Linked DNA regions of Schizosaccharomyces pombe. Changing the gene in region 3 together with the main gene of any one other region gives a genetic interaction. Each region holds a gene or a part of one and is shown on either strand. Other genes may lie near its edges.

Region 1 (6,693 bases), 3.9 Mb from region 3:
TTGCATTCTTTTATTGTTTACTAATAAACTTGATCTTTGTACAACTGTACTCATAGACGTTTTAAATTTTGTGTCCAATGTGCCTATGGCTGATTACAAGCTAAAGGAGATCGATTAGAAACATATGAAACGATCAAACATTTCGCAAAACTTGCACAGCAATTCTTAAAAACGAAGGTGTTATTGGTAGAAGCTGTGTACGATATAAGAAAAAAAAAACAAAAAAAAATAAATAGAACCCGTATTTAAGCCAAAATTGTTCAGTTGTTGTATGTTACGAAAAAATAAGTTTCAAAAATTAAAAAAATTAAAACTGCTGAATATAACATTTATATGTCTTAATTACTTTTTTGGTTTTGACGGCGAGCACGGACAGCTTCAGCAAGATCGTCTAGCATTGGAGCAGTTTGTTCCCAGCTAACACAAGCATCAGTGATACTGACACCGTACTTGAGAGTATCCTTAACGCCAGGACGGATTGGAGCATCTTGACGACCTTCATTGATATGAGATTCAATCATAACACCAACAATGGAAGAGTCGCCATTTCTGATTTGTTCGGCGATGCTCTTGGAGACCTTTGGTTGGTTCAAATGATTCTTGCTTGAGTTGCCATGAGAGCAATCGATCATGATACGAGGAGGAAGGTTGGCCTTCTCAAGATCTTTGCGAACGGCGGCAACGTGCTCAGCATCATAGTTAGGACCCTTCTTACCACCACGCAAAATGATGAAGGTATCCTTGTTGCCCCTGGTCATGGTAATAGCGGCGAGACCTTGTTTAGTAACTCCTAGCATTGTGTGAGGATGGGCGGTAGCACCAATGGCATCAATCGCCACACCAACAGTACCATCAGTACCATTCTTGAAACCAACAGGGAAGGAAAGGGCAGAAGCCAATTCACGATGTAATTGAGACTCGGTAGTACGAGCACCGATAGCACCAAAACTGAGTAAGTCGGCGAAGAATTGGGGAGAAATGTTGTCCAACATCTCACTGGCCAAAGGAATGCCAAAATTGGTAACGTCGCAATACATTTGACGAGCCATCCTAATACCCTTGTTGATAGCAAAAGAACCATCCAAGTTAGGGTCGTTGACCAAACCCTTCCATCCGATAGTAGTACGGGGCTTCTCCAAATAACAACGCATGACAACGCACAAAGCATCCTGAAGCTCGTCAGCTTTGGGCTTCAGCAACTTAGCATAGTCCATGGCCAATTTAGGGTCATGAATGGAGCAAGGACCGACAACAACGATAATTCTGTCATCTTGTTTGTTGAGAATAGCTTGAATCTCCTTTCTGGAGTCAGTGATGACTTTGCGAGAAGTTTCAGAAACAGGAATCTCTTGTTGAACCAAAGCGGCAGGAACCAAAGGGTTGTAACCTAAGACACGGTTGTCATCAAGATGCTCTTGATCGTAAGTTTCACCGCTGGGTAAAAAAACCTAATTGAATAATGTTAGCAAATTGACATTAAAAAAAAAGACCAAACATGCTGGACATAGCAATCAACATAAAGCAATAAAAATTTCAAAAAAAAGAAACAAAAAAATTTAAAATTTCAATTGCCTAAAAATTCATCAGCAAAAACAAATTTGTTATCCGCATAGTAAAATCTACTATATAACTCAATAAGATAACTTTCAGTACTGTTTCTCCGACTGATGAAAATTTTTACTAGCAAAATTCTTTGGATGCCCAATTGGGGTTACTTACCGGAGACATGGCTTATTAAATAGAATTAATAAATTTAGGTCAAAGAGTGCTTCCTAAGTTGTTGAATGCCAAGTAAGTAAACACTATTAAAGGTCCTTTACTACGACGAAGGTTGGTTCTGTCTGAGTTCGAAGCAGCGCCAACGAAAAATATATGTAGTCCAGTAATAAGATGATCCAGTGATAATGGCTCTAAGTCATCGGAACTGCGAAACAAGTAGTAGGCAATTTCTGGACATCATCGCTTAAAAATTTGTTCAAATTTATAAGTCCTTTGTTTTGTATCAATTTCTAGATTTCACTTGCTATTTAATTACTTGAAAGTAAATTGAAGGTTGAGCGTAAAAACATAAAATAAAGCCTTTTTTCGGTTTCTTATTAATTCATAAATTAATGTTAAAAGGGATTGATATATAATATTTAATAATTACGTTTCCTACAATGTTTACTGTCATGTACCACTGGGATATGAGAATATATACATTGCTTATCAAAATACTTATTTCCAAGATTCGCTCAATTATATAAACCACGCATTAAAGCAACATATAAAAACATATTGATTCGTTTATTTTACTTTTACTCAATGCATATTTTGTGAGCCCGAAAATTTAGATATACCATCTGTGACTGCCTTTTTGGTACACAAACGCCGAAAATTAGAAGTCTGGTGGACAGCGTTGGCTTTCCGGTAGATTAGTCTTTTGAGGTTAACAAGTTAATGATATCTGATATTCTGATGTGATTATTGAATTTATGAAGTGCATCAGTACTGTATTTCTCGTGTTCCGGTGACTCTCGTATTTTGTATTGCACTAGAAATAGTGAAATCGCCAGCCATTTCATAATTTATCAAGTAGCTCGACATTAGTATGACTATTCATATTCTGTATACGAATGATGTTCTAAATTAAAATCTGGCAAAGTAAATGACAATTCTGTTCATATAAGCTGGTTTACATAGCTCTACGTTCTTTAGTAAATTACTAAACAGATCGCTATACAGTAAACATTATCATGGCAACGGTTGCTATGGGGCTTATAGGTGCGTGTACACAGATTACAGTCGACTTAGTACACTTACCTTCATCCTAACAATCCATTTAGAATAGTCAAACATGTCGACAGACGATTCACCTTATAAACAAGGTAATAACTACTTTTTGAAATCATTTCAAAATGTTTATTAACGAAAAGATAGCTTTTTCTTTATTTGACCGCCATGGAACTGGTCGCATCCCCAAAACGTCCATTGGTGATCTTTTAAGAGCGTGTGGACAAAATCCTACGCTGGCTGAGATTACTGAAATTGAATCTACTTTGCCCGCAGAAGGTATGATTTCTTGTTATGGGTTTGGAGAGTTATACTCCTTAGCCGTGCATTAAGTGACAATACTAATTGGTAGTCGATATGGAACAATTCCTTCAAGTGTTAAATCGTCCCAATGGGTTTGATATGCCTGGTGACCCAGAGGAATTCGTGAAGGGCTTCCAGGTGTTTGATAAAGATGCCACTGGCATGATTGGAGTGGGTGAATTGCGCTATGGTATGTATTTATAGAGATCTATCCTTTTTTCAGATTGATAAAAAAATGCGAAACTAATTGTATCAGTTTTAACTTCTTTGGGTGAAAAACTCAGCAACGAAGAAATGGACGAGTTATTAAAGGGTGTTCCCGTAAAAGATGGCATGGTTAATTATCACGGTATGCTCTATTACTACTCTGGGCTTCGGCAATCAACTACCTATACTTAATTATACTAACTGCTTCCTTTAGATTTCGTTCAAATGATTCTTGCCAATTAATTAAATCTACATAGTTTGCATAATTTACCCGGCATATGTTTCTCCTTTATTATTTACACCTTTATTTCAATTTTATGTCTTCAATAGTTTACTTTCGTTCAGCTTTTCCATCTGATACACTTGGGACTATGAAGCAATATGTTCCTGAATACAGATAACTGGACTTTTCGATACTCGCAGGAATTTCTACACATATCGTTTAGCATACGGAAATAGAGATATCCTTCTATATTCGTATATTTATGAATATGATTAACAACCATTTGTTATCTCATGCAAATGACCTTATATCTCAGCTGCTTAAATTGTTTGAATCTCTCCAGATGTAAATATAAGTTTTCATTCAAAATTACACTTTTCGTAAGTAATTACGGTTGATGCCAGCTTTCTTGATGCATTCGGCTCCAATTTTGCCATATCGTGTATATCTTGTATATCTAATTTACTGTGTGTCAATACGATGCTTTGAATTAGATGTAGGGCTTGACACTTGATGTCGAACGAATGGCCAGAGTCAAGACAGTCCATTCTTTTGCATTTTTACATAGTGAACACAAATCATAAAGGTAAAACTTTTGGCTCATTTAGACATGCAATCATATAACCCAACAATTAGTCATTTGTTTGCTCTAAGGCCTGAGTAGCAAAATATTGAACATCAGGGTCATTATCTTTTGTAAGTTGTTCGAGCAATGGGATGATTTGCTGTTCATATACGGTCGAGTCACCACCAGCTGCCAAAACAGGCTTAAGAACTTCAAACGCCTTGGCAACGTTAAAGCGAATATTAGGAATAGGGTCATTAACCAACTGTTCCAAAGTTGGAAGAATTTGTTTTTCAATTACTTCAGCATTCAATGCAGGTGCGATTTCCTAAAATACGTTAGAACTGGAAAAAAGCAAAAAAGAAAAACTTACACTGATCGCAAAAATAGTTGTCATTCGGTATAAATAATTTGGATGGCTTCGCATAGCCAAAAACTTTGGAATAATTGTCTCAGTTGCCCATTCCAACCCAAAAATTTCCGTAAGTTTTCGCAAATTCTTTATCGCAGCTTCACGAATAGAATATACATGGTCCTCTAACCATGACATACATAAATTGCCCATTTTCTCATTAAAAAATTCGACCCCAAGCTGCTGAGCAAGTAGTGGAATGTAGTCAATGATAGCAAGACGAACACGCCATTGTTTATCTTCAGCAAGTGTAACAATTGCAGGCAATAAAGATTGTGAAAGTAATTCGATACCAACGACTAAAGTGAGTTAGTATAACTGTAGCAATAGCTATATTTTGAATTTGCAATTTACCTTTGTTTACAACTTCCAATTTCGAAATAATGTTAAGACGAACTTCAGGGTTTTCATCTTTAAGTAATTCCAAAAACATTGGTAAAAGATACTCTGTAGTCCTAAATATAACGATTAGTAAAATGAGGTTTTTAAAAGAAAAGTTATTTTTAGCAGACATACTTTTCCTTTCCTAATTGTGGGGCGAGAGCACCTATGTTCATCCCTAAAGCAGCACGGACATGTTGAGCGGGATCATTAATTAACTCTTGAATAACTGGAATAATCTCTTCAAGAACAATTCGCTTATCCAACAATTCGCAAAATCCTGGTATTTGAGTAGCAATAGCACGGCGGACTTCCTGCTCGGTATCCTTCATGAGCAGTACGAATGGTTTAATAAGTTCATCTTTAATAAGAGATGGTCCAACTACTTTAGCAAGTTTTACAAAATTAGCAGCAACCATATAACGTGTTCTCCAGCTGCTATCCGAAACAAAAGACCTTAATGGTTGAAGCAAATAGTGACGAATTTCCGAGTCAGATTTTAATACCTCCGCCAAAGAAACCATAATGTCGAAAGAAAGGAGCCGAACTGAGTCTTGGTCATCATTAGAAAGGGAGTTGAACAATGGAATGAATTCGTCAATAGCCTCCTGTTTAGTTACCAAAAAAACAAACTTGGCACAGTTCGTTGCTGCAGGACGACGGACCATGGGAGCTTCGTCGTGACATAGATGACTAAAACTTTGACGAAGAGAGACTTTGACAGCAGGATTTTCTGACTGAGAATATGCCGCGCAGTAAAGCCCAGCAGAGGACGCACGAGAGGTAAACCACTCAGCGGTTGAAAGACGTTGAACCAATGGAACAAAATATTGCTCTAATTGTTCTTGGGATAGGCAAATACATACTTTATTGAGAGAGTCAACGGCTTTATCGCGGACTACCGTTTCTTCAGTTGCAGCAAGATTTTCAAGGGGAGACAAAAGGACATGCGCATACTCAGGGCCTCCAACATAATCTACAAAATTTCCTAACTGGTCGGCGAGAGCTGATAGGACTTCGTCCTCATCGTCAATCGATTCTGTATTCAAGGAATGTTAGCCGACAAACATACATCGTTTATTAAAAAATATAAAGAATTTTAAAAATTTAAACCTATAGTTCCATAATTTTATTATTGAATGCATACCATCTAAAAAGGGAATCAACTCATCCCTTGTACGTTCAGGACCTAAAGCGAGAGCAATTGTCGATAACCGTTCCAAAGCATTGAGCCTATAAGTAATTTCATCATGCTTTAACAATAGTCAGAGTTGAACATATCAGACGTAAAACAATTTGTTACCAACCTTTAACTCATCAATCAAAACAGCAATCGGATACAAATCGTTCACTTGCTATAAATAGTCGTGGTTAATAAATTGTAAAAGAGACATTTTGTAACACACATTCTCTGTTTGCATTTTATATAATAGAACAACTCGTTCTTAGCAAACAAGCAAATAAAGTGGGTAGGAAGTTTTAAACTTTTCGAGGTGAAGAAGGAGTGTGTGTTACAGCGGACGCTACCAAATTGAAACAGTTTTCCAAGCAAGTATCTCAAAGGTTTTCCTTAACATGAATCATTTTGAATAATTCTAAAAAACTATTTTGTGTTTATAATATACTCTGCTTTTCAGAGTTTTGACTGAACATAAATTCCACTTAAATGTTTACATACTGAATTGTCTAGCATCACGAATTCTTTTTATGTCTTCTCTCTTTATTCCTGACCTAATTTAATCTTTGTTTTTGAGAAGTATTGTTTAAGGGATATGGTTTGGAATCACATTTCTACCAATGCTAAAGCTTTTATATGACATCAAACGATTT
Region 2 (10,603 bases), 1.1 Mb from region 3:
AATATATACGATATCCTTATTTAGTTTTCGTAGTGAATACATATTAAGGGCGAGGCTCTTTTTCACCGACATATATTTAATTTAAAGAAATTTTTATTGTAGATACTAGTTTATGATTTTTGGAAGACTACAAGTAGTAAAATTAAAACTTACCTAACTATTTTAAAACTACATTTTCGTAGTCCATTTAGAAATTATGTATACCTTAATTAGCTACTACATAGTAAGATTGCTCAGTATTGATTTTGTTTACCAAGCTTTTCATCGTTCATTCTTTTTTTTAGCCGATTTCATGCATCATCTTCGAGAGTATCTAAATTAAATGTTTAAATCCACCCACAAATTATTTTTATTTGTAAGATATTAATCAATTGGACATTTGCAATAAAATTATCTATTTATGTGCTGATTTTACATTCGTTAAAACATATAATGTAGTTCATGGTCGTGTTATTAATCACTTTAGACAGTTTAGCGAGTTGGCGTCTTTATGAAATCCGCGTCGCCAGATATTAAGCCGTTCTTGGCATCATAATAATGGCTAAACTTTTTTATTAATTACTTTTATTGAAATTTTTTGAATTCAAATGCCAAGGTTCTTTAAAATTTAGAGATTAAGTAGTACATAAAGAAACGCGAACTCTCGATTCATCATGTGGTCAAAGTTATCGATTTCTTCAAAAATTAATCGTATTCGCGACCCTGAAAGCGATAATACGATTGAAGATACTCACGTTGCTCGTGTAATGAGAAAATACTATATGGACAAAATTGGGACATTACCTGAATGGCTTCGTCCTCCTGGATGGCAGCCTCCAGTTAACACAGGACCTACTTCCCCAGTTAGCATAAATGCAAGTAATGCGGCTCCTTCAAATTTAAAAGCTTCATATATTCCGGCCAATCCTAGGAGGCTATCGTCCTCCACTTCCTCTGCTTCGTCTCCCCCTTTACGACGATTACCTTCTGTTCAACATAGTACCTTTGACGATTTGTTTGAAGGTGTCGGAAGTCTTCAAAAATCACCTTCCACCACGAAACCTCTTTCCTCTACACCTTCCGGCTCATTGCTACGGTCAAAATTTGATCACACTAGAAAGAAGTTTTAGTTGACACAACGATACCTTTACTTTACTCTCATTGGTATCTGTTAATGGCGTATTAATGATCAAAACGACTTTTTGTTTCTTTGAAAATGCTGTTACTACGTATGTGTTATTCTCAACCTCGTTTGTTAATAACTAAGCCCATCTTACCCAGAAGTTCGACATTTGTCAGTACAGAGGCATAATTACTTATTTTACAACTTTGAGTTAGCTCACCTTTTCTGGTTTTTCCTTTAGTAATTATTTTTGGAATGACCTGACAATAAGGTGCACTATCCTAAGCAACTCGCCTTTAGTTTGAGAACTATCATTTAGTCTAATTAAATAACCATCACATGTTCTTTATGTTTCTAACCGGATTGTAGCTTTAAAAATTAAACTGTTCAAAAAGCGCTTGGTAGAATTAAAGCTAGTAGCTGAAATCAATTCAACATTATAAAAACTTATCGTTACATACAGCGCATCGTATAGGTTTCTTTAATTTCTAACTCGAACACTTAGGGACGAATTGTGAAAATTCGTTATTGTAATTTAATATGGTATGTAAATAAAAGCACCAATGGATTCGTTCTTGTGATTCTCGTTTATTTGCAAATTTCTGGTTATATTTAGCTCAACGTGACAACAAAATATGTTACGAATGCTTTGTAAGTAAAAATGATCTTCACGAATGTATTTTCTCATTGAACAACGTTTTAAGCAACCAGAAACCGCATCCAAATGCAGACTAGACTTACAAGACGAGAATTTCGATTATCCTAAAAATAAAATTTAATACGCTATAACGCAATTTAACCATTATAATATTAGATATATCGAAGTTTCATTTCCTTTCAACTTACTTGTTCGCAAGTATACGTATTATCTTAGATCATTTAAGCCATCCCAACCCTTACTCGCTAAGTGTTCCACTTTATCCAAATTTGAAGGTCAACAAGTTCTGAACATCAACTTTTAGCAAATTTAAAAAAAAGGTTTAATTGAGCTAAAACTTTTCATCACAGTTTCCTTGTTAATACTTGAAAACAAGATCCTGAAAGCAATTACAATGCTGCATTCGTTTATGAAGTAGAGATGCGAAATTCGTCAAAGGGACAGGACCCTAATTTTTCTTATGACTCTATTCTGTCTACTCCAACTCCATCAGCCAGAAGAACTATTGGGCCAAGGGCTCCTAAGTCCAAAACAACGTACCATAAACCTCCATCATCCATAGAATCAGTATCGACGTTAATCCAGCCTAATAAGTCCCAATCAGTTACTTCTCCGTATGTAAAGCAATTTACCTTTTCATCGAAAGAGTACAATTCTCATAATAAACATGCTTTGCAAAATTCCCAGCTTCCTTTACCTAAAACACCCGAGAAATCTACTGTCCATCGACCCAAAGCGAATAAAGTTGAAGTCACTGATCTACCATCTTCGTCTTCCGTTGAACATTTGCACACTTCTAAACATCTCAAGGGTCCTAGGTTGCCCAAAAACATTATTAAAAGTTCTGAGGATGTCCAAATTGCTCCAGTGACACCCCCTGTACATTCTCGCTCTTTTGATCCTTTGCCGAAACCTCCTGTTCCCTCAGTTCCAGTATCTAAGACAAAAAGGCGAACTAAGCATAAACTTGCTCCTGTTGTTGAAGTCCCTGAGATTACCAACGAGGTTTCCCCAAAATTCACTTCTACTAATGATGAACAAGTTTATCGACTACGTTCAATTCGAGCTGGGAGCCCTAATTCGGTATGCTCGTTTCAGTTTGAAATTCCGAGTACTCGACCACCTTCATTGGATCAGCTAATACATCTATTCAACGATTTTTTAAGACACCCTGTATTTGATTTTGACGAAAACGCCATTGAAATGCTTCAAAGTTGTACTCCAGATGAAAAGTGGTGTTTTATTCGTTCTAACTTCGCCGGGTTTGATGATCCTTCTTTCCAAATTCCAGAATTAGCTGCCGTCCATAGACCTGTTTCCTGGTTCGTAATCCAACTATGGAATAAAACAATTAGTAATTTACAACTTATCACACTTTCTTCTTTATTATCAACTCAATCCGATCGATGGATATCTCTTTTTCTTGAACTGCAGGGACTTCGAGCTTTGCATAATCTACTTACATATTTTAATTCGTCTGCCGTAGTGCAGCCTCAGCAAGCTGAAGTTCCTCGTTGCATGCTTACTCTTTTGAAGAAAAAACCTACTCTGGTTACTTCCAATTCTTATATATTTCAAGCAATAACAGTGACCCTTATATCCCCAAATTTGCTTCCGAGGAAAGTAGCCGCAGATTTATTGACATGGGTTCTGTCTTTAAAGGAACCTCTTGTGGTCTCCATATTGGAAACTGGATTTAAAGAAATAAATGCCGAATATGAAAAGGAGGTTCCGCTATTCTTTGGATGGATAAAATCTTTCAAAGACATAATCTTGGAAAAAGAATTAGCACGAACCCCTCCATCTTCTCCTGCTCGAAATTCTGCTTCCAGCTCACCTTCAAACATAGCGTTTCTTGAGTATTGTACTTCCACTATGGAATTTATCAATCAGCTAATTGTTGCTTGCGAAGAATTGGAGCAAGGATTTGACCTTGATATATTGGATTCCCTTCGTGAATCAGGTATACACGAAGTTATACAACTTCTACGTAACTTTCCTGACCAACAACTTGAGAAACAACTAAACATATATGAATCAGAAGAAGAGAGGAGGACTATAAGTCAGACCACGCATGAAGATGTCGATTCCTTTATGTCAAATGAATCCTCAATTTTAAGTAGCTTCAATGAATTTGCATCAAATGAAGTTGGCCGTTTACTTGAATCAACTATTCAAAACATACTACTTGCCAAAGGTACTGAAAAGCAAAAGGTGAAACTTATCAAGGTTTTTAACTCTTTACTTCAAAGAATACTGCTCAATTCAAAAGTATCCAATGAAAGTTTTGAAGATAGTTTACAGGCATCTTTAAATATGCTAACCGAAAGATTCTATTCGGATGACACAGCCAGAAATGCTTTGAAGGAAGCAAAGGCGTCACGTGCAATGGCTGAGAAAATGGTTATTGAAAGAGATGCAATGGCTGCGCAAGTAAATCTGGGTGCCGAAGACTTAATTGCGAAGTTAAACAAAGAAGTAGAGGATCAGAAAGACGTTATTCTTTCTCAGAAAAGAACGAATGAGACTCTAAAAACAGAAATTGATGCTCTCCAAAAGTCTCATGTTACTCAAATCCAAAGGAGCGAAGTGGAATTACGAGAATTGTATCTTCTTATCAATTCGGATTCTTTTCAGGGCTCAACTAATTCCAAGGAAAGGATTATAGAATATTTGTTGGATAAGCTTGACTTGAGGAAAAAGGAAATTGCTGCAGAGTCAACACTTTGGTCAAACGATGGAATTGATGACAAACTTCGGGATCTAAGGGAGCAAATGTCTCGACAGTCCAGCCAGCCCTCAACTGTGTCAACTATTTTACAAATTCCTGATAAAAAATTTCATCGTCCATTCCCTCGTCATTTACATCGATATGTTGGTCGTTCAGCTTCTGAATCGTTAACCAGTGAAAAGGATGAGTCCATCAAAAGTATGAAAGGAATTGATGACTTTGCGAACTTGGAGATTCCGGGAAAGGGTATTGAGTCAAACGTCGTAATAAAGGATATTTCAAATCAAACGCATGAGATTAATAGCGTTGAGAACAAAGCAGAAACAGTTAGCAACAATAGTAAAATTACGAACTTTGATATTCCTAATGATGCAACTTCTTTACCAACGATAATTACACATCCAACTCCACCACCACCTCCTCCTCTTCCTGTTAAAACTAGTTTAAATACCTTTTCCCATCCTGATTCTGTGAACATCGTTGCTAATGATACATCGGTTGCTGGGGTTATGCCTGCTTTTCCACCACCACCACCACCTCCTCCTCCCTTAGTAAGTGCAGCTGGAGGTAAATTCGTATCCCCAGCTGTTTCAAATAATATATCAAAAGATGATTTGCATAAGACTACTGGTTTGACTCGTCGACCAACTCGTCGTTTGAAGCAAATGCATTGGGAGAAGTTGAATTCTGGGCTGGAATTTACATTTTGGACGGGACCTTCTGACGAGGCCAACAAAATTTTGGAAACCTTGCATACATCAGGGGTCTTAGATGAATTAGATGAAAGTTTTGCGATGAAGGAAGCAAAAACATTGGTCAAAAAAACATGTGCTAGAACTGATTACATGAGTAGTGAACTTCAGAAGCTTTTTGGTATTCACTTTCACAAGCTGTCTCACAAAAATCCGAATGAGATCATTCGCATGATTTTACATTGTGATGATAGCATGAACGAGTGTGTTGAATTTTTATCAAGTGACAAAGTACTAAATCAACCTAAATTAAAAGCAGATTTGGAGCCTTATCGTATTGACTGGGCAAATGGTGGTGATCTAGTTAATAGCGAAAAGGATGCTTCAGAGCTTAGTCGTTGGGACTATCTTTATGTGAGACTTATAGTTGATCTTGGGGGTTATTGGAACCAAAGAATGAATGCACTAAAAGTTAAAAACATAATCGAAACCAATTATGAGAACCTTGTTCGTCAAACAAAACTTATAGGGCGGGCTGCTCTTGAGCTTCGGGACAGCAAAGTTTTTAAAGGTTTGCTATATTTAATTCTATATTTAGGAAACTATATGAACGATTATGTGCGCCAAGCTAAAGGATTTGCCATTGGTTCACTTCAAAGACTTCCATTGATAAAAAATGCCAATAACACTAAAAGTTTACTTCATATACTTGATATAACTATTAGGAAGCATTTTCCTCAGTTTGACAACTTTTCCCCTGAACTATCAACCGTCACTGAAGCAGCCAAACTGAATATTGAAGCGATTGAACAAGAGTGCTCCGAGTTAATTCGTGGTTGTCAGAATTTACAAATAGACTGTGATTCTGGGGCTCTTTCCGACCCTACGGTATTTCATCCTGATGATAAAATCCTTTCAGTTATATTACCCTGGTTAATGGAAGGCACCAAAAAAATGGATTTTTTGAAAGAGCATTTACGTACAATGAATACTACCCTGAACAATGCTATGAGATATTTTGGTGAACAGCCTAATGACCCTAATTCCAAGAACCTGTTCTTTAAACGTGTTGATTCTTTCATAATTGACTACTCTAAGGCTAGATCTGACAACTTGAAATCGGAAGAAGAAGAAGCTTCACAGCATAGACGTTTGAATCTTGTCAACAATCATAAAGAACACGTGCTTGAACGTGCAATGTCTGAAAATAACAAAATGGATAATGAAGCAATGGATGGTTTCCTTGATAAATTGAGAAACGTCAAATTAGAAAGTCACCATAAACCACGAAATAGATCCGCCATTACTATGGGTAAAGAACATTTAATAGAAGCTCCTAACACTTCTACTAAATCTAGTCCTGCAAAAAACGAATTATTTGTTCCTAAGAGATCTTCGGTAAAAAGTGACTTGGCAAAAGTTAGGCCAAGGTATCCTAAGGGTAGTGAATCAACCGATGGATTATCTGACGCATTAAATATTACTCCAACGAAAAAAGGAGAAGTATCTAGCAAAGCTAAAAAGGGATACAACTACGAAAAGCGTCGTTCGGGCCGTCAGGTATCTGATAGCTATGTCCTTAACAAAAATTCGAAGAATAAAAGTAATAAGGGTCGCTCCGCTTCTTACACTTTTTCTGATCCAAGCAGTTTGGAAGATTCTAATAGGCAAAAACCCTTTAATGGTGAGAAATTTCGAAGGTTTAGTTCAAAATCAAGAAGAGGTTCACAAAACCGGGATTCTAAGAAGACGGGTAAAGCTCGAAAGGATAAAGGTATAAACAATAACCAGACAAGCCCTCAGAATAAACCGTCTAAAGAATCTCTAAAATCTGATACTATTTCAAACGAGAAGAAAGTATTTCCTCAAAAGGCTTCTAAAGTTAATTTGCTTACGCCGACAATTTCAAATGGTACTAGGGCAAGTAAACATGCTAACGAAAAGGAGAATACTTTTCCTCGTGGTGTCGAAAATAATCTGGTTGCTCCCATGATTCCTAATAACACCGAACTTAATGAAGATACCAGCGCTGTCTCTCGGAACTTAGAAAATGCCACCAATGACTTGAAGGAAACTTTTCCGACTACAACTACGATTTCAACAGCCAGAGCTAAACCTGGTAACAATGATATTAACACTATTTTACGAAGAAACAATAGCCGTGGCCGTCGACGCATGTTGCAGCAAATGAGTCCTTTGAAAAGCAATAAATTTTCGGGAACTAATGATTTGAATTTTCAACAAGCTACTAAACCAGACGGCAGCAATAAGTCCTCATATATGGAACGTCTGGAAAAATTGAAACAAAACTCTGAACGACATCTTCAATCAGTAGGAGGTAAGAAGGTTTATTCTTCTGAAGAAACGCCCGTCAACAAAATATTAGTATCGCCTTCCGTTTCTATTTTGGATCATAACCGAATCTTAAGTCAAAGTACTCCTATCAAATCACCACAACGAGCACAAGAAATGCTTGCAGGTTTATTATCTGGAAAATTGGCGCCTAAGGAGAATGAGAAATAGGTTAATGATGCAATCTTTCTACCATTGCATAATTTTTTTTTCTAATTTTGGAAGTTAGTTTAGTTGGAAGATTGCCCTTTTTTTGAAGTGTGTATCATGTTCATCATTTTTAATAGAAAGAGCTGGCTCGTTTGACATTTTGTCATATTTCTTTAAAAATCTTCTTATGAGTATGTAAATATAATGATTTAAATCCCTATTCTATTTATCATAATGTCTGTTGCGCAAATTGATGTAGAACTCTGTAAAATTTTTCAATCTGAAGTAAAATAGGACTAATGTTAAGATGAAAATCGTTTAGAAATCATTCGATGTGTGCTAATGTTTCTTCGTTTCTTTTATAAAGTGACGAATCATTGGCGAAGACTCACTATTTAAATATTGCTCAATTATATTTTCGGTGTAATTAACTTGTTACATTTTCTAAGGCAAATACATTGTGCTGTTGCAGAACTGTCTTTTCGAGAAACATACTCTGATTGATGTATCGTTGGTAGAATGGTAGAACACGAGCATGCATTAAGTCAAACATTCTACAAAATGAAATTTCAATTATTTTTATACACATGTTGTTTTTCGAGAAGTCTAAAATTAGTCTACGCTCGAGTAGTAGCATGTATAATTCAGTAAATAGCATAACTATTAACTATTGAGATTGTTTATGTGCTTAATCTTTTTTTATAATTTAACTAGTGCTCATTGAAATAGATTGACGACGAGCTTTTTAAACGCTTTAACTACCAACTTGCGCTGACCACTCACTATTGGTTTTAAGTTCAACGGATTTAGAAGATTAGCGCGCACATCTTGACCACCGAACTACCCAACACCAACGTTGTGAAAATTTTAAATTCGTAATCTTTCTTTGAAAATTGGAATTATTGGTATATAATTAAATTTCAGAGTCTACATTACTTGGTTTAAATTTAAACCGAGTTTTAGAAATAACAATGAGCAATTCTCGAAACATTGTAATTGTCGGTGGTATGTGACTTTAAAAATAGCTGGACTCATGATCTCTTTTATCTTAACTCATATATTGTTGATGTTGTTGATATTGACAAGAAGTTCATCAGCTTTATGACGGTGAAACTTCTTTCCTGCCATGCTCAGATGAGCTTTGCTTTGATTGCTATTTTACTTTACTGCCGCAATTTTCATAACTTACTAACAAATATTTTTCAGGTGGAATCACCGGTGTGAGCTGTTTATATTTTTTGGCTCATCACCCCAGTTTTAATCGTGATCGTGACACTATAACACTTTTTGAAAGTGCTGGTATTGCATCTGCCGCTTCTGGAAAAGCATCTGGTTTCCTTTCCTTAGAATGGCATGGCCCTTCGACGAGTTCTTTAGCTGCTCTTTCGTACAACCTACACAAAGAATTATCGGATCAATATGATGGAGTCAATAAATGGGGTTATCGAGCGTTAGATACTTGGTCCATTAAAGCTGACGAAAATTGCCAACAACCTGATAAATTGCCTGAGGGAATTGAATGGATTGCTCCCTCTATTGTTGAGAATGTTACTCGTTTAGGAAACAAGAAAAATTCTGGTCAAGTTCATCCTTATAAATTTTGTCATGCTATTTACGAAGAGGCCAGTAAGGTTGCAAACGTTACCTTGGTAAAAGGTCATGTATTAAGTGTTGATGAAAATGAAGTTGAATATCGGCTTATTGGTGATGACTACGCCCCGGATGAAGAGGAGGAAATTACTTCGGCTGAAGAACTGCATACCATTCATTCAATGGAGGCAACTCACATAATTGTCGCTGCCGGTCCTTGGACTCCCCAATTAATACCCAACTTGCGAATAAGTGGAGCACGAATTCATAGCATAACTATCGATCTTCCTATCAAGCTAAACGGCAATGCTGTATTTTCTGAAATTACCTATAAAGATGGGACAATTGCTGCTCCGGAGTTTTATGCACGTGAAGATGAGCTGTATGTATGTGGTGAATTCGATGACGAGCCTTTGCCTGAATTGTCGTCAGATACGAAGGTGGATCAAGATAAATGCGCTTTGATTAAACAATGTGCCAACCATTTCCACCAAATAATTCGTGATTCTCCTGTTAAAGTTCGTCAAGCGTGTTATTTGCCCATTTCTAATGCAACGGGTGCTCCTGTCATTGGAAAAATTGGTTCATCTATTTATGTTGCGGCAGCTCACGGCTGTTGGGGTATAACTTTGGGACCTGGTACAGGAAAAGTGTTATCTGAACTCATTTTGGATGGTGCTGTTACTAGCGCAAACATTGATCTTTTAGATCCGGAAGGTTCTTTGGAATAAAATCACCTTAATTATGGCCATATTTGTCTTCATATCCCTTCTTGTTTCTTATTTTTTTACGCTTAGCCTTTTATCCTTTATTTTCACTCTTTTATTCATCACATTCTCATTTATGAGAAAAGTCTAGGCATATTTTGGGAAACATATTTTCGAATCATGGTATTGATAAGATCATGATTATGAACGACTACTTTACTACCATCAACTCATAACAATTCTTGTTTGCTATCATCTTATTTTTGTCTTGACATCATAGTCAGCTTGAAAATTATTTGTTTTTCTATCTCCCTTTTTGAGCATTTTGCGTACCGATTTTGTTTATTTTTCCGTTGAACTTTTTGTTCTGCTTAAGTTAGAAGTAGAATCACTGAATACCGTCATTTTTAATGTGCCTCTTGATCACGGTGTTGAGTTTCATCCTGTTGGGTGCATTTTACGGCATAGGCACTTAGTGTATATATTTTGTAAATCCCTTTTTATTTAGTGTAATTTATTTTTCTACATAATTCGATACTTTCTTTAGTTATTTTCCACTTCGTATGTGCTTAACAAATAGGATTTGAATCCGATAATATACAAGCAGATTGTAAAAGATCA
Region 3 (8,760 bases):
GCCACAAACTGCGTAAAAAGGCGAACAAAAATTGAGGGTTTGTTCGTTCAATCCTAACGAAGACAAATTTATGTTCTTTGAAATTGGAAAAAAAGTCTGAACACCATTGAAACGCTAATGACTCTTGAACAGGATTCCATGCCAAAGGGAGCTGCAGCGTACCCAAAAGCAAAAGCTCGGCAGAAACTTTCTCATCCAAAAAATTCAAGAACAGTGAAGTTTCGTAGGTGACTACCTCAGATAACAGGCGTAAAAGGATTTGGACAAGTTCAATGCAATTTAAATTACTTTTTTCATATATTTTCGCATAATTAACAAGCTCTTCGCTATAATCCTTTAAGCTATCAACAGAAACTACAGGATTGACATTGAACTCTCTTATATCAAACATCGATGTTGGGGATAGGATAATATGAGAAATGATGGAAAGTTGCGGTAAAGGATTTCTCCAAAGAACCCAGAGAAAGTCCAACGTAAAATTAGTTTGCCTTAACTTGTAAGCATTTGTAAAGATTGTGAAGAACAGTACAAGACTAGGTGTACCCGTTATCATAAATTTAGGATTATCGAACATAGAAAGCATAGCTTCCCAATTTAGGTTTTCAAAAGAGGAAACGATAGCTTTACCCATCAAAACAGTGTCCCAAGCACCATAATCATGTATAGCTACAAGTGAATTTATAAGATAAGCAACATCAGTCTCAGTAGCCGTTCCCGGGGGATATTTTTTAAGAATTGCTTCTTTCATAGACTTAAGTGTAGCTTTGGAAGCTTTCATCGGACCAAACAAAGCTGTAAGAGGGCGTGAATTCGCCAACTTTTTCTCAATTATAGCATCAAACTTTGGAACTTTAATCAAGGGTATTCTGTCATAGTCGGTGGTAAACAAACCTTCCCTGAGCAAATCCAAATCGTTTTTATCAATACTTTGTTGCTGAGTAGGATCGGATAGTTGGTTTAAAAGAGATTGGAATGTGTTTTTAAGCAAAGCAGAAGCTTTCTTTGCTAAAGTAGGTTTAACAGAAGTGGTAAGTCCAATTAAAAGGTTAGTCCTTTCTAACGGGGAGAATTGGAAATGGTCTAAAAATGCCTCTATATCGAAATCTTCAAATACTTCAGAATCAGAACCTGAAATAGCATCACTAAAACGTTTCGCCATGACCCAAGACTTCGTGAGAGATTTTAATTCATCTAGTAGTAATTTATAAGTAGCTAGTCCATCAGAAGATTTACCGGTACCAAAAATACGGTATGAATTTCCTTGAATTAGACGGCGAAGAAAATGGTGGTATACTCTGGGTGCATTTTTGTTGATAAGTTGACGAATCTGTTCAAGTTTCGTATCATATTGGTCTTCCCGTAAGGTCGACAATAAGAAAAGGATTTGTGCTTTAACAATACTTTCAATTTTTGAATCGTTTGGTGGAGGGGTCTTAGAATCTAGTGATATAGGATGCCCAGATTCAGAAGTTGAACTAGATTTCTCTCGTGTCTCCGGCGTTTGTTGTTCTTGGCTCTTCATATTTTTAACGCTTTTCTATTACCATGCCTTTGTGAGGCTATTATTATACTCCTATGCTATTTTCAGCTGATATATTCTTTGAATATTTACAGATGAGATGCAGCAGTATCTGCTAGCAAGTTTGAATGAAAATAGGTGCAGTGGTGTTTTGCAAAAGATATGTCGGTCCTCCTCACTGCCAGGCAGTCTAAGAAAGGATCGAACATTAAATTTAACGAGACTGTATCTTTCGTAAACTTTTTTAACAAAATTTAAGGATAGAGTTAATTTGCAGTTGCTTATTGTGCACTCAGATAGGCAACGGTTGCTAGGGACGGTTGTCACCGCAGTAGTCGCAGTAAACAAACATGTTTACTCTTTTCCTGAAATCGACTACCAGGAATTTACCAACAACAAATCACAAATTTTGCTGCATTTTGTTCTTTCAATAACAAAATGGAGGTTAATGGAGTCTCTCAATCTGAAGCGGCTCCGTACGTTACCAAATCTTCTGTTAAGTTCCGCGATAATTTCTGGGTATGTGTAAATTTGCTGTATTTAGTAAAGCAAAGTTATGTTAACAAAATCGTTGCAGGGATCTGAAGATGCGGGTATGGATGCTCTTATGTCCCGAACAAAATCTTCTCTTTCCGTATTAGAATCAATTGATGAATTTTACGCAAAGCGGTAAGTATGGTTGCCTCGTTTGGAAGTTGCAGCTCTACCTTAAGCGCTACGATGATTCAAGAAATATGTTTTTGGTCGTTTCATTGTCATTTAAGATGTTTTACAGATAATCGTGGATTCTTAAGATAGCTTGTGTAATGAACCGAAGGGTTCGGTATGATTATTGATTAAAGTCTGACTAACTAAATTAGTGCTTCTATTGAGCGTGAGTACGCATCTAAACTGCAAGAGTTAGCTGCCAGCTCAGCAGACATCCCAGAAGTTGGATCAACTTTAAATAATATTTTATCTATGAGAACTGAAACAGGGAGTATGGCCAAAGCGCATGAAGAAGTCTCACAACAGATAAATACCGAATTGCGAAATAAAATTCGCGAGTACATTGATCAGACGGAGCAACAGAAAGTTGTTGCAGCCAATGCCATTGAGGAATTATATCAGAAAAAAACGGCTCTCGAAATAGACTTATCCGAGAAGAAGGATGCCTACGAGTACAGTTGTAACAAGCTGAATAGCTACATGAGACAGACAAAAAAGATGACTGGTCGTGAATTAGACAAATACAATTTAAAAATCCGTCAAGCAGCGCTAGCAGTAAAAAAAATGGATGCGGAATACAGAGAAACAAACGAATTACTTCTTACAGTTACTCGGGAATGGATTGATCGTTGGACAGAGGTCTGTGATGCTTTTCAACATATTGAGGAATATCGTTTAGAGTTTCTCAAAACAAACATGTGGGCCTATGCAAATATAATATCTACTGCTTGTGTAAAAGATGATGAATCTTGTGAAAAGATTCGACTCACACTCGAAAACACTAACATTGATGAAGATATTACTCAAATGATTCAAAACGAAGGTACCGGAACTACAATTCCCCCTTTACCCGAGTTTAATGACTATTTCAAAGAAAACGGATTAAATTATGACATCGACCAGCTCATTTCTAAAGCTCCTTCTTATCCATACTCCTCTTCGCGTCCCTCAGCTTCTGCATCTTTGGCAAGTTCGCCAACACGTAGCGCTTTTCGCCCCAAAACTAGTGAAACAGTTTCATCGGAAGTTGTATCATCACCACCTACTTCACCATTGCATTCACCAGTTAAGCCAGTGTCTAATGAACAAGTTGAACAAGTTACAGAGGTTGAACTTTCTATTCCCGTTCCTTCTATACAAGAAGCTGAATCCCAGAAACCAGTACTTACAGGGAGCTCAATGCGTCGACCTTCTGTAACATCACCAACTTTTGAAGTAGCTGCTCGTCCTTTGACTTCAATGGATGTTAGATCCTCTCATAATGCCGAGACTGAGGTACAGGCTATACCCGCTGCAACAGATATATCACCCGAAGTTAAGGAAGGTAAAAATAGTGAGAATGCTATCACGAAAGATAATGATGATATTATTTTGAGTAGTCAACTTCAACCTACTGCTACCGGAAGTCGGTCATCTAGGTTGTCTTTCTCTCGACATGGACACGGGTCTCAAACTAGTTTGGGATCTATCAAACGAAAATCAATAATGGAGCGTATGGGGAGACCCACTTCTCCCTTCATGGGTTCTAGTTTCTCTAATATGGGTAGCCGAAGTACCTCACCTACTAAAGAAGGATTTGCTAGCAATCAACATGCCACAGGCGCGTCTGTCCAGTCTGATGAGTTAGAAGATATTGACCCCAGAGCTAACGTTGTTTTAAACGTTGGACCCAACATGCTTTCTGTTGGAGAGGCACCAGTGGAATCCACATCCAAAGAAGAAGACAAAGATGTACCCGATCCCATCGCTAATGCAATGGCTGAATTAAGTTCGTCAATGAGAAGACGCCAATCGACATCAGTTGACGATGAAGCGCCTGTTTCTCTTAGTAAGACGTCTTCTTCTACAAGATTAAATGGCTTGGGCTATCACTCTCGAAATACTTCTATAGCTAGTGATATAGATGGCGTTCCCAAAAAGAGTACCTTAGGAGCTCCTCCAGCCGCACACACTTCTGCTCAAATGCAACGCATGAGTAATAGTTTTGCTTCCCAAACAAAGCAGGTGTTCGGAGAGCAACGAACCGAAAATTCAGCTAGAGAATCCCTTCGTCATAGTCGAAGCAATATGAGTAGATCTCCTTCTCCAATGTTATCGAGAAGAAGCTCCACCTTGCGCCCAAGCTTTGAGAGGTCTGCATCTTCTCTTAGTGTACGCCAATCTGATGTCGTTTCGCCAGCACCTTCTACAAGGGCTCGTGGGCAATCAGTGTCTGGTCAACAAAGGCCATCTTCATCTATGTCGTTGTATGGTGAGTACAACAAATCTCAACCTCAGTTGTCTATGCAACGTTCTGTTTCTCCCAATCCGTTAGGCCCTAATCGTAGATCGTCATCAGTCTTACAGTCACAGAAATCTACTTCATCTAACACATCAAACCGAAACAATGGTGGTTATAGTGGATCGAGACCAAGTTCAGAAATGGGTCACAGATATGGGTCTATGAGTGGAAGGTCCATGAGGCAAGTTTCCCAAAGATCCACCAGTCGCGCACGGTCACCAGAGCCGACTAATAGAAATAGCGTTCAATCAAAGAATGTCGATCCACGAGCTACTTTTACGGCTGAAGGAGAGCCAATTTTAGGATATGGTAAGTTCATTAAAGAGAAACTTTAAAAATTTTTAATTTTACTAATTATAATTCAGTTATCGCACTTTATGATTATCAAGCTCAAATACCTGAAGAAATTAGCTTCCAAAAGGGCGATACATTAATGGTTCTTCGCACACAAGAAGATGGATGGTGGGATGGTGAAATTATTAATGTTCCAAATTCAAAACGTGGTTTATTCCCGTCGAACTTTGTTCAGACGGTATAGACACTGATTACCCTCTTTTCTAGATGTTTACACTTGCATTCTTTTTCGCGTGGTTACTATCTCTTACTAATCCGTAATTCCTTATTTTTTTTTTGATGACTTAACGCGAAACGACATGCTTTTTTTTTTTAAATTCATTTCTCGTCATGGTCTAAGCTTCGTTGCATTGCATAGGTATTTATACGCATTTATTTTGATATCTAAAGATTTCTGTTTTAAAGGAAATACACATAGAATCTAGTTGATTGGAATATATTTTATTTTATTTTATTAACAATGTTTGACTCCTTTGTCCTTTGGCTATTGTAAGACGTAAGAATAACACTAATTGTTTTTGAAGATTTCGTGCATTTCAAAGTTTCATATGATTTTTACATCAATTTCAAAACCGATTTTAGTAAATTAAAATCAAGGTACGATTTGGTATGTAGCTTTGACAAGATATAGCTAAATTGCTAATTTTTATCAGTAACTAGAGGATAAAGTTGAATAAACCAAAAATATAACACGATGATGAATTTGCCTGCTCAAAAATATGATATCCGCAGATGTAGGATTCTGAGCTTTACTTTTTAAAAAGAAGCCGACCGATAATTACCAGAAAATGCATTTGTGGATAAGGTATGTTTGAAGAGTGCAAACCCAGATTTTTTGTTTGGCTATAGATACAGTGTGCATCAACTAGCTTGTAAACATGAGTGTTAGGAGATATGAATAGATGCTTATAAAATGATCTGATTGAAAAGAAGTCTCGCTAGCCTGAACAGATAAGATTATTGATTGAGGTATAAAAAGACATAAGACCCTGATTTTGCAAAAACACATGCGTGCCTTTATATTTACATACCTACTTAGTGAAAAAGCTACAGATTTTGTTATTTGCTTTAACGATACAATGAACTGCGGTGAGTTTCGCTTATGAGCTGTTTATTCTATGATACTTTTGAATAATAGAGGTAACAGTTGCTATATATATTGTTATATGTAGGTACTGTTGTAATTTGTCGCTGAGAAAGAACTGAAGAACGAGGATCTATTTATCGTGTATTATTCTTAATAGCTTATATTTTATTGTATTGTTAGCAAGATCTATCTCATGTTCGTATTATCATGACACGATGTGCAAATTGAATGAATGAATGAATAATGATATGTAGCGTAATGCAGTATTACTGACACATACACTGATTTTACACAGTATCTCTAAAGCCGTCAAAAACAGAGAAATTAATTATCGTTAAATTATTTAACGCCATAAATAGAACTACTGCCAAATTCACCAGAATATCATAAATGTAATAACGAAATTTTTCACCAGAACCTTCAATTTTATTGATAGCGGCCGTGATAATTGGTTTTCCCGCACATTTTAGATTACTTAGATCCGATTCATTGGCTGTATCCGTAGCCTTCGGTTTAATTCAGGAAATGCAATTGGTGCGCTGTTAAAGGTAAGGAGCGGCTTCCTCGGTTAAATGACGAATGTCCTGCGTTCCTTTATTTATTTTATTTACATCTTCTTTTCCTTTTCCTTCTTTACTACACATGTCAAATTAATAGCCACTAGCTTGACCGATTAGAGAGAATCCAACTTTTTTCTTTCTCTTTCATTCCTGTTGTTTTGTATCTGTCTACACTTGTTCGTTTTAGCGGTGCGGGATTTCCAAGTGTATTAACGGGTGTCTGTTTGTGAATAGTTTTTTTTTTTGTCTCGTCTTAAGGCTCCTTCGTTTCTAGTTTTGTAATATCTTTTTTTGTATTATTTGATAATTGTTTTCATTTGTTGAGAAAGTACTTGATATTAGCTTCTTGTTCTGTTCGTATTAGTGATTACTTTTAAATTTTTTCAGCAATTGTGCTAAAGTGCCTAATTAATGTCTTATTTATCGAGATCTGCACTCGCTCGGTCAGTCGGGGCTAAACACCTTACTGGGGTATTGAGAAAAATCGGGAGAAGGGGAGGAAGATCGATGCACGTTCTCCCTCTCGCTTCTCCTAGTACTCTTTTAAAAATCTCTTCTCAAACTTTACGTCAAGATTTCACCGTTCTGGGCGCTCGTAATTTTCATTCAAGTTCCGTTCGACTTAATGAATTGACGGATAATTTGCGTAAACTAGATACTATTGAGCGAGAGGTCGAGGATGTGGATGTGTGTATTGTTGGTGCTGGCCCTGCGGGACTTAGTGCTGCCATTCGTATCAAGCAACAAGCTGCCAAAGCCAACAGAGACATTCGTGTCGTGGTACTTGAAAAGGCTGCTGAGCCCGGTAACCACAGCGTATCTGGGGCTGTAATTCAACCTACTGCCTTAGATGAACTACTTCCTAATTGGCGTGATGACCCACCTGAAAACTGTACTGCTGTTACTCACGATAAAATGAAGTTCCTGATCCCAAAATTGCATTTCCCTATTCCTGTCCCTCCAGCCATGAAGAACCACGGAAATTATGTTATGAGTTTAGCAGAATTTACCAGATGGCTAGCTGCAAAGGCCGAAGAATATGGAGTTGAAATATATCCTTCTTTTGCTGCTTCAGAGGTCCTCTACAACAAAGATGGTTCTGTTATTGGCGTTGCCACTAATGATTTTGGTGTCGATAGTAAGGGTTTGCCCAAAGATAATTTCGAACGCGGCATGGCTTTTCACGCACCTGTCACCTTATTTGCTGAAGGTGCTCACGGTTCCCTATCAAAATCTATTATTAAGCGTTTTAATCTTCGAGGAAATTGTGAACCTCAAACCTATGGTTTGGGTGTAAAGGAGGTTTGGCGTGTACCTGACGAGAACTTTCGCAAAGGTGAGGTAGCCCATACATTAGGATGGCCAATGAGGAATGATACATATGGTGGTGGTTTTATGTATCAATTTGGCGATAACTACGTTACTGTTGGTTTAGTTGTTGGACTGGATTATCCTAATCCTTATGTTTCTCCCGCCTTAGAATTTCAACGTATGAAGCAAAACCCCTTTTTTGCTAAGGTGCTAAAGGGCGGAAAATGCCTGGAATATGCCGCACGTGCTCTTAATGAAGGTGGTTATCAAGCTATTCCCAAACTTGTGTTTCCTGGTGGTGCACTGATCGGTTGCAGCGCTGGATTTGTGAACGTTGCCAAGATTAAAGGCACTCATACTGCGATGAAATCAGGTATTGTTGCCGCTGATGCCATTGTAGATGCGTTTGGACGGGACGCTGCCAGTAAGCCTCTTCTTCTAAACGATTATGAAGAAAATCTAAAGAACACGTACGTCTTCAAAGAACTTTATTCTGTTAGAAACATTCGACCATCTTTTCACTCATTTCTTGGTAATTATGGTGGTATGGCTTATTCTGCCGTGGAAGCATATGTACTGAAGGGTCGTGTCCCATGGACATTAAAGCATAAAGGAGGAGATGCAAAGGCTACAAAGTCTGCATCAAAATATAAACCTATCAATTATCCCAAACCGGATAACGTTCTTTCTTTCGATATTCCAACTTCGGTATCCCGTTCCGCAACAATGCATGCTGAAAACCAACCCTGTCACCTATTCGATCACCGTCCTAAAGACCGTAAATCATGTTTTGAAACATATAAGGGCGTTGAAAACAAATTCTGCCCTGCTGGGGTGTATGAATATGTTAATGATGAAGCTTCTTCATACGGTAAGCGTTTTGTCATAAACTCTCAAAATTGTGTCCATTGTAAGACATGTGACATTAAGGACCCTTTAC
Region 4 (6,630 bases), 3.4 Mb from region 3:
TTAGCTTAAACCATGAGCGCTTAGTTCATTTAGTTGATTTGGCCTTTTTAAGTGCTGTTTCGGTTGTCTAAATAAATACAAATGATTATATAATCTTAGGACTAGTCAGGGAGTTTAAAATAGTATCTTTAAGTAGGGAAGACAGCAACATCTATTTACAGTAAATTTTTCCAATACTCCGTTCGTGGAATAGTAGGCATTATGTCAATTTAAGGAATATTACCAAAGCTGGTATCTTAAAATTACGTATTATACAGATGGCTTAACAGACTATTATCCGCTACATAGCGTTACTGAAAAAAGTTTTATTGGGATCATCTTTTGGGCTTCCAAACTTATCCTTCTCCATTTCTTTATCATGGCAAAAGATAAAAAAGACCATAAGCATAGTGGAAGCACCGAAGATGAGTATGATTCATATCTTCCTGCTTTAATGCCAATTGCTAAGCCTTTAGCTCCTAAAAAATTGAACAAAAAAATGATGAAGACTGTCAAGAAGGCTTCGAAGCAGAAACACATCCTTCGTGGGGTCAAAGAGGTTGTAAAGGCTGTTAGAAAAGGAGAGAAGGGTCTTGTAATTCTTGCTGGTGATATTTCTCCCATGGATGTTATATCTCATATTCCAGTATTATGTGAAGACAATAATGTCCCTTACTTATATACTGTTTCCAAAGAGTTGCTTGGTGAAGCATCAAACACCAAGAGACCTACTAGCTGTGTTATGATTGTTCCCGGTGGAAAAAAGAAGGACATGTCTAAAGTTGAGGAGTACAAGGAAAGCTACGAGGAAATTATAAAAGAAGTACCTGCTCTTGAAGTTTAATTGTTCAATATCTAAAAGATGCTTAGCCATTTAATGTAGATTATTATATACTATTAAAATTTGGTATTTATCCTGGGATTTAACTTTTGGTATATCATGTCTGTTTGCTTGATAGTAAGCGAAAAGAAGTTTTGCTTAATGGTCGGTTTTAAGGTTTCAAAAAATTTCCTTTTTAATCTAGTGTTTTATCATTCTTTCTTATGCCCTAGTATTTTATGGGTTTAGACTGGTTTGCGAGCAAACTAATCACTATACCTCCAAAACTTTGTTAGCAATAATATCGTATCATTTACCAACTTATATGAGAATGGTATATCGCTGTAACAGCGATGAAATATCAACTGATTTTTCCTCAAATTTCGTTTACGCTGATCGTTTCATTACGGATTTAGCCTGTGTTTATTTCTAACTAGTTGCGCAAAAAAGTTTTATTATTCGTTTAGGTTGCTATTTAGTATTCAGAGGCGGCGTGTTAGAACCAGTTTACAACTAACTTAAATTTCACCCAACGTCGTTCTTACCATTATAATGTTTACAAATATTATGCTTTCCAGTGCTATCCATAAATGATAGATTAGGGTAGCTTTAAAGGTCCGGCAATTATATGGTTATCTATCCGGATTTTGTTATCGGATTTAAATATATTTGCTAAAACAAATCGAATTTCAGATAAAAAAGTTGGGTTGTATTTGTATGAGCAAAAAGTATTCTGTATGTTTATCATAAATTGATGTGCATTTTTACTTACTTTGTAAGATAATGATTATTGTTGTTTATTTACTATAGTGTTGCTAAAAGTTAATGTCTTTTTTTTTTTAATAAAGAGAAAAGATTAAATGTCAACATAACGTTGTGTATAGTTTAGAATCCACTTTTGTCTTCATTTGTTTCGCACCCCACATATTTTCTTGTGCATTATCATCCCTTCTATTTACAAGGACCACCAACACCCAGGTACACAATTTAGAACTCAACCATTACGGGTTTGACGAATATAGACGAGATTCGCAATTACTTGTCTGATGGATTACCAAGATGATGGGCTTGGTGAAATGATTGAGTTTTTGGAGGGTATGCATGAAGTTTAACTCAAATATCTCGTAAAATTGATTAACATGTTAAATAGACAAGTTATACTACACATCATTGTCGCAACCACCTAAAGCCGAGTTATATCCTCATATGCATTTTTTTACTATCGATGATGAATTGATCTACAACCCTTTTTATCATGACTTTGGTCCGCTGAACGTGAGTCATCTTATTAGATTTGCAGTGATAGTTCATGGTATCATGGGAAAACACAGACAAGCTAAGAAAAGCAAGGCTATAGTTTTATATTCTTCTACAGATACAAGGTTGCGTGCAAATGCCGCTTGTTTGTTAGCTTGCTACATGGTGTTAGTACAAAACTGGCCTCCACATCTCGCATTAGCCCCTTTAGCTCAGGCAGAACCTCCTTTTTTGGGGTTTAGAGATGCGGGATATGCTGTTTCAGATTACTATATCACGATTCAAGATTGTGTTTACGGACTGTGGAGAGCACGAGAGAGCAGCATACTAAATATACGTAATATCGATGTTCATGACTATGAAACTTATGAAAGAGTGGAGAATGGAGATTTTAATTGGATATCTCCTAAGTTTATAGCATTTGCAAGTCCTATTCAGGCTGGTTGGAATCATGCGAGCACACGTCCAAAGAAACTTCCTCAACCGTTTGCGATAGTTCTCGATTATTTCGTCGCTAATAAGGTCAAACTGATAGTTAGGCTTAATGGACCTCTTTACGATAAAAAGACTTTTGAAAATGTTGGAATTCGACATAAAGAGATGTATTTTGAGGATGGCACAGTTCCAGAGCTTTCTCTTGTCAAAGAGTTTATTGACCTTACCGAGGAAGTAGAAGAAGACGGTGTGATTGCTGTTCATTGCAAAGCAGGGCTCGGACGTACTGGATGCTTAATTGGCGCATATTTAATATACAAACATTGTTTTACTGCTAATGAAGTTATTGCTTACATGAGAATAATGCGTCCTGGAATGGTTGTAGGTCCACAACAGCATTGGTTACATATTAATCAAGTTCATTTCCGTGCATATTTTTACGAAAAGGCGATGGGAAGAGCAATCCAACAGGCCACCGCTGCGGAACCCTTAGCTACTCCTCCTCGCCATCCATTGAATGCTACGAATGGTACCTCTCAAAGCAATATCAGTACTCCTCTTCCAGAACCAACGCCTGGCCAACCGAGAAAAGTTTCTGGACATAATCCACCGTCGGCGAGACGTCTCCCTTCAGCGTCCTCTGTCAAATTTAATGAGAAACTTAAAAATGCTTCCAAGCAATCAATCCAAAATGAGAACAAAGCGTCATACAGTAGTTACGAAGATTCAGAAATACAAAATGATGATGAAACACGGACTGTTGGAACTCCAACTGAAACAATTTCAGTGGTTCGCTTGCGTCGCTCATCAAGTCAAAGCAATATCGAACCAAATGGAGTTCGTTCTCCGACATCCTCACCAACTGGTAGTCCAATTCGACGTACAAGTGGAAATAGGTGGTCTAGTGGGTCTAGTCATTCTAAAAAAAGTGCTCAGCGAAGTGTTAGCATGTCATCACTTAACAATACTTCTAATGGCCGTGTTGCTAAACCTAAGCCTTCTAAAAGCCGGCTAATTTCTTAATAAACCTGTAATTACTGGTTTAAATGGCAGTTTTTACATTCCTTTTTTTCATATAAACTAACTTTGAATTATACTGTGTCAACCCTGCATAATTTTTCATTAATTAACTTTACAAATATTCCCTGATTTAGCGCACCTTTGCGCGGTGGGGATCACCACCATTAATGTCTTAGCTATCCTTTTTGTTAACTAACATTCATATTTCTTTGGAAAAAACTTTGGCTTTTTGCAAGCCATGGTTAATGATTTTAATCGAGAAATTGTTTTGGTTATGATATAAAAAGTCTTTGTTTTTTATTACGAATTTCAAGATTTCGCCATTCTATTTTTGGCTGAAGAGGTTCTTTCGCGGGTGCATGGTATCTTTGTTCGTAGCGGTACATTTTATTATATTTTGCTTGAGAATTTTTATCTAAATTCCCAACGGAAATCTGCCTACTTGTTGTACCTAATTTGCTTCAATGTTTTCACCTTTGGGTCAGTTTAAGCACATAGTTTGTCCATTTCTACGAACTGGACGCAAATGTCAGTCTAGGAATTGTTTCTTTAGTCATGACTTTCAAAACTCAACAAAGATTTCACCACCTTATTCCGAAAATGTTGAAGGGTACCCAAAAGTTAAAATTGAAAAATCACTTCCTTACAAATACGATAATTGTAAACTGTCTATTTGTGTTCCAATAGTTACGACCTGTATCCCTTATCATTCGGTTGAAAATCTTAATTTCAACATTAGGCAAAATATATCCACCACTTTAAATTTGGAGAAGACAAATGATTCCATTAAAGAAACCAAGAATGAGAATTTTCGTATGGACGTACTAGAAACTTACAAATGCAAGCAGTTGAATCATCAAACGACGCATCTACCTACAAATACTGTATTAAAAAAGCGTTCTTTATTTAATGATGCCATTTCCATCGTTCCTAATAAGAAGAAGCAACTTGTATCAGCCATTAGTACTAATTCAGATTCTCAAGGAGCGTCTTCCAATATCATTCCTACTCCTAAATATGACTCCAACTCACCAGCTGGGCATGAACTGAGAAAACGAATGACACATTTGTTATATGAGTCTTACAAGGATTTAGGCTATTCCAATGCAGAAAGTAGTATGCTTGCTCTTCTCGATGAAAAAAATATTTGTGAAACTGCAAACAGTAAAATGATATACAGTTCCTCCTGCAAGTCTAAAATTTTATCTCTTAAGAAAGCTCCGAAGAAAAATGAAATACAAGGATCAACTCCTGATGAGAAACTTGAGTCACTTGTTCATTCGGAAGAAGAATTGATTCTATGGGGATATAATATTGGAGACGTTGCACCAGTAAACCCGCCAGATGAACTTCGTGAATGCGATCGATGTGGTACACGGTTTGCGGATCCTCGAGGACCATGTACATATCATTGGGGAAAACTGTTTCGTGAAAAGCAAGGGGGGGAGAAGATTCGTACATACACTTGCTGTGGTGTAAAAGAGGGCGATTCGTCTGGTTGTATTATAGAAGACAACCATGTGTTCAAATACCGACATCTTCCGTATCTTGCTAGCGTTCATCCATTTTCCTACTTACCAGACAGTACAAATAGCAAGCAATTAAGTCATTGCGCGTTAGATTGTGAACTATGCTACACTACGAACGGGATGGAATTGGCTCGTTTGACGGTGGTAGCAAAGGAAAGCATTATTATGGATGTGTTTATAAAGCCTAAAGGCAAAATTTTGAGTCTCAATACTCGATTTAGCGGGATACATGATGCCAAAGAATTAGAATCAGGAATTACCATGGATCAAATGTATATTAAAATAAAGGAACTTGGCATGAATAAAAATACAATTTTAATAGGACATGGTTTAGAAAACGATTTGAATGCGATGAGGCTTATTCACAAACGTGTCATAGATACTGCTCTTCTATTTACGCATGCCAGAGGCCCGCCGTTTAGATATTCCTTAAAATATTTGACTAAAAAATATCTGGGAACAACAATACAAACTTCTACACACGATAGCGAAGAAGACGCTGTTTCAGCATTACAACTTGTCTTTTATAAGACAAAATCAAATGAAAGTCAAAACTAAGAGTAATAATGTTTTCAAATTCAAGAGATAGATCATATCACAAAGTAATTTTGTTGGATATATAGATTTCTGATACTAAGCATAATGAGAGGAGAGAGATAGTAATTGTAAACCCAATAAGGAAAGGGTAGGGAAGAATTTTGTAAATCCTTCTACCAAAATGAATACTTCATTCTCATCATTATTCCTCCACCAACTAAACCACATATTAGTAAAATGACAATTATTGACACAATTTAGAAGTATAGAAAAATGCTGCAAACCATAGCTGCTTATCGATTCTTCAGTCATTAACTTACGTGTCTTCCATGTTTGGAATTGAGGAATTCATTACGCTCCTTCCCCCAACAGTAAATATAGTAAGCTATTCCAAACGGAATTGCTACGTATAGACCTTCAGTCATGACGCGACGAAACATATTTTGCGTAGAAGTTTTGAAGAAGCCGGCCATTGGTCTCTGTTGAAATGGGGAAAGGGAATATGTTATGATTCCTTTTTGTTTAGGTCCACCTCTTATTAAAGTAAGTAAAAATGTATCAAATTGTTATAGCACTTACAGATGGCCCCACCATCCTCTATTCATGTGTTAGTATAAATAAAAACGTTCAATGATATTCTCAGCAGCTATTTGAATGTATATAACTTCGCTGACGAAAATGGCTTTACGAAATAAACACCAATTGTGTCCACCGTCTCACGCTATAAGCGTCAAAGAAAAGTCATATAACCCATTATAAACAGAAACTGCTTTAAGTTGCACTTACAAATAAGTTTTTCCTCCAGCAGCACCACCCATTTTGTTAAAACAATAATATATTGATGATTGCCGTTACAAAGTCAGATGTTTGTTAAGGGTAAGTGTGCGGGTCTGCTAGACCAATAATAATTCAGACGTTTACAAATTCTTGGTTTTTTATTCAAGATTTTTATTTAGTTTTACTATTAAAATTCTAAATAATAAGATCATGTATTTATTAATCATGAATATAGATTTTCCTAGAGGTTGCAGTTAAGTCATACTTAGTCTTGCT

Evidence for each region.
Region 1: mutations in cdc15 (region 3) and cdc4 are lethal when combined (synthetic lethality), as found in Schizosaccharomyces pombe (4 studies listed by BioGRID).
Region 2: mutations in cdc15 (region 3) and cdc12 impair growth when combined (synthetic growth defect), as found in Schizosaccharomyces pombe (8 studies listed by BioGRID, with this or other methods).
Region 4: mutations in cdc15 (region 3) and clp1 impair growth when combined (synthetic growth defect), as found in Schizosaccharomyces pombe (5 studies listed by BioGRID, with this or other methods).

The regions. Positions count from the first base shown.
Region 1 is NC_003424.3:5,326,382-5,333,074, forward strand, and holds cdc4 (myosin II light chain cdc4), read left to right. Parts: upstream 1-2,806; 5' UTR 2,807-2,836; coding exon 2,837-2,867; intron 2,868-2,919; coding exon 2,920-3,051; intron 3,052-3,124; coding exon 3,125-3,265; intron 3,266-3,331; coding exon 3,332-3,424; intron 3,425-3,496; coding exon 3,497-3,525; 3' UTR 3,526-4,137; coding exon of another isoform or gene 4,138-4,398; 3' UTR 4,399-4,443; downstream 4,444-6,693. Other genes in the region: SPOM_SPAP8A3.07C (phospho-2-dehydro-3-deoxyheptonate aldolase), read right to left, coding at 339-1,448, 1,720-1,728; serine/threonine protein phosphatase PP2A scaffold subunit Paa1, read right to left, coding at 4,138-4,398, 4,444-4,781, 4,837-4,937, 4,999-5,902, 6,011-6,116, 6,171-6,218, 6,270-6,284. UniProt on the Schizosaccharomyces pombe protein: Involved in cytokinesis. Required for the formation and function of the contractile ring.
Region 2 is NC_003424.3:281,296-291,898, forward strand, and holds cdc12 (cytokinetic formin Cdc12), read left to right. Parts: upstream 1-2,048; 5' UTR 2,049-2,180; coding exon 2,181-7,706; 3' UTR 7,707-7,905; downstream 7,906-10,603. Other genes in the region: exocytic docking protein Mso1, read left to right, coding at 654-1,109; SPOM_SPAC1F5.03C (FAD-dependent oxidoreductase), read left to right, coding at 8,657-8,690, 8,892-10,006. UniProt on the Schizosaccharomyces pombe protein: Plays a role in the cell cycle. Involved in cytokinesis. Component of the cell division ring. In the absence of profilin, caps the barbed end of actin filaments, thus preventing subunit addition and dissociation.
Region 3 is NC_003424.3:1,396,084-1,404,843, reverse strand, and holds cdc15 (F-BAR domain protein Cdc15), read left to right. Parts: upstream 1-1,907; 5' UTR 1,908-1,957; coding exon 1,958-2,038; intron 2,039-2,096; coding exon 2,097-2,188; intron 2,189-2,364; exon of another isoform or gene 2,365-2,379; coding exon 2,380-4,817; exon of another isoform or gene 4,818-4,828; intron 4,829-4,873; coding exon 4,874-5,046; 3' UTR 5,047-5,644; downstream 5,645-8,760. Other genes in the region: CCR4-Not complex subunit Not1, read right to left, coding at 1-1,522; cir2 (electron transfer flavoprotein-ubiquinone oxidoreductase), read left to right, coding at 6,921-8,760. UniProt on the Schizosaccharomyces pombe protein: After the onset of mitosis, forms a ring-like structure which colocalizes with the medial actin ring. Appears to mediate cytoskeletal rearrangements required for cytokinesis. Essential for viability.
Region 4 is NC_003424.3:4,766,875-4,773,504, reverse strand, and holds clp1 (Cdc14 family protein phosphatase Clp1), read left to right. Parts: upstream 1-1,788; 5' UTR 1,789-1,845; coding exon 1,846-1,894; exon of another isoform or gene 1,895-1,949; coding exon 1,950-3,514; downstream 3,515-6,630. Other genes in the region: box H/ACA snoRNP complex subunit Nhp2, read left to right, coding at 359-823; exonuclease Rex3, read left to right, coding at 3,976-5,598; qcr8 (ubiquinol-cytochrome-c reductase complex subunit 7), read right to left, coding at 5,780-5,794, 5,898-6,111, 6,157-6,174, 6,364-6,395. UniProt on the Schizosaccharomyces pombe protein: Protein phosphatase which antagonizes mitotic cyclin-dependent kinase cdc2, the inactivation of which is essential for exit from mitosis. To access its substrates, is released from nucleolar sequestration during mitosis.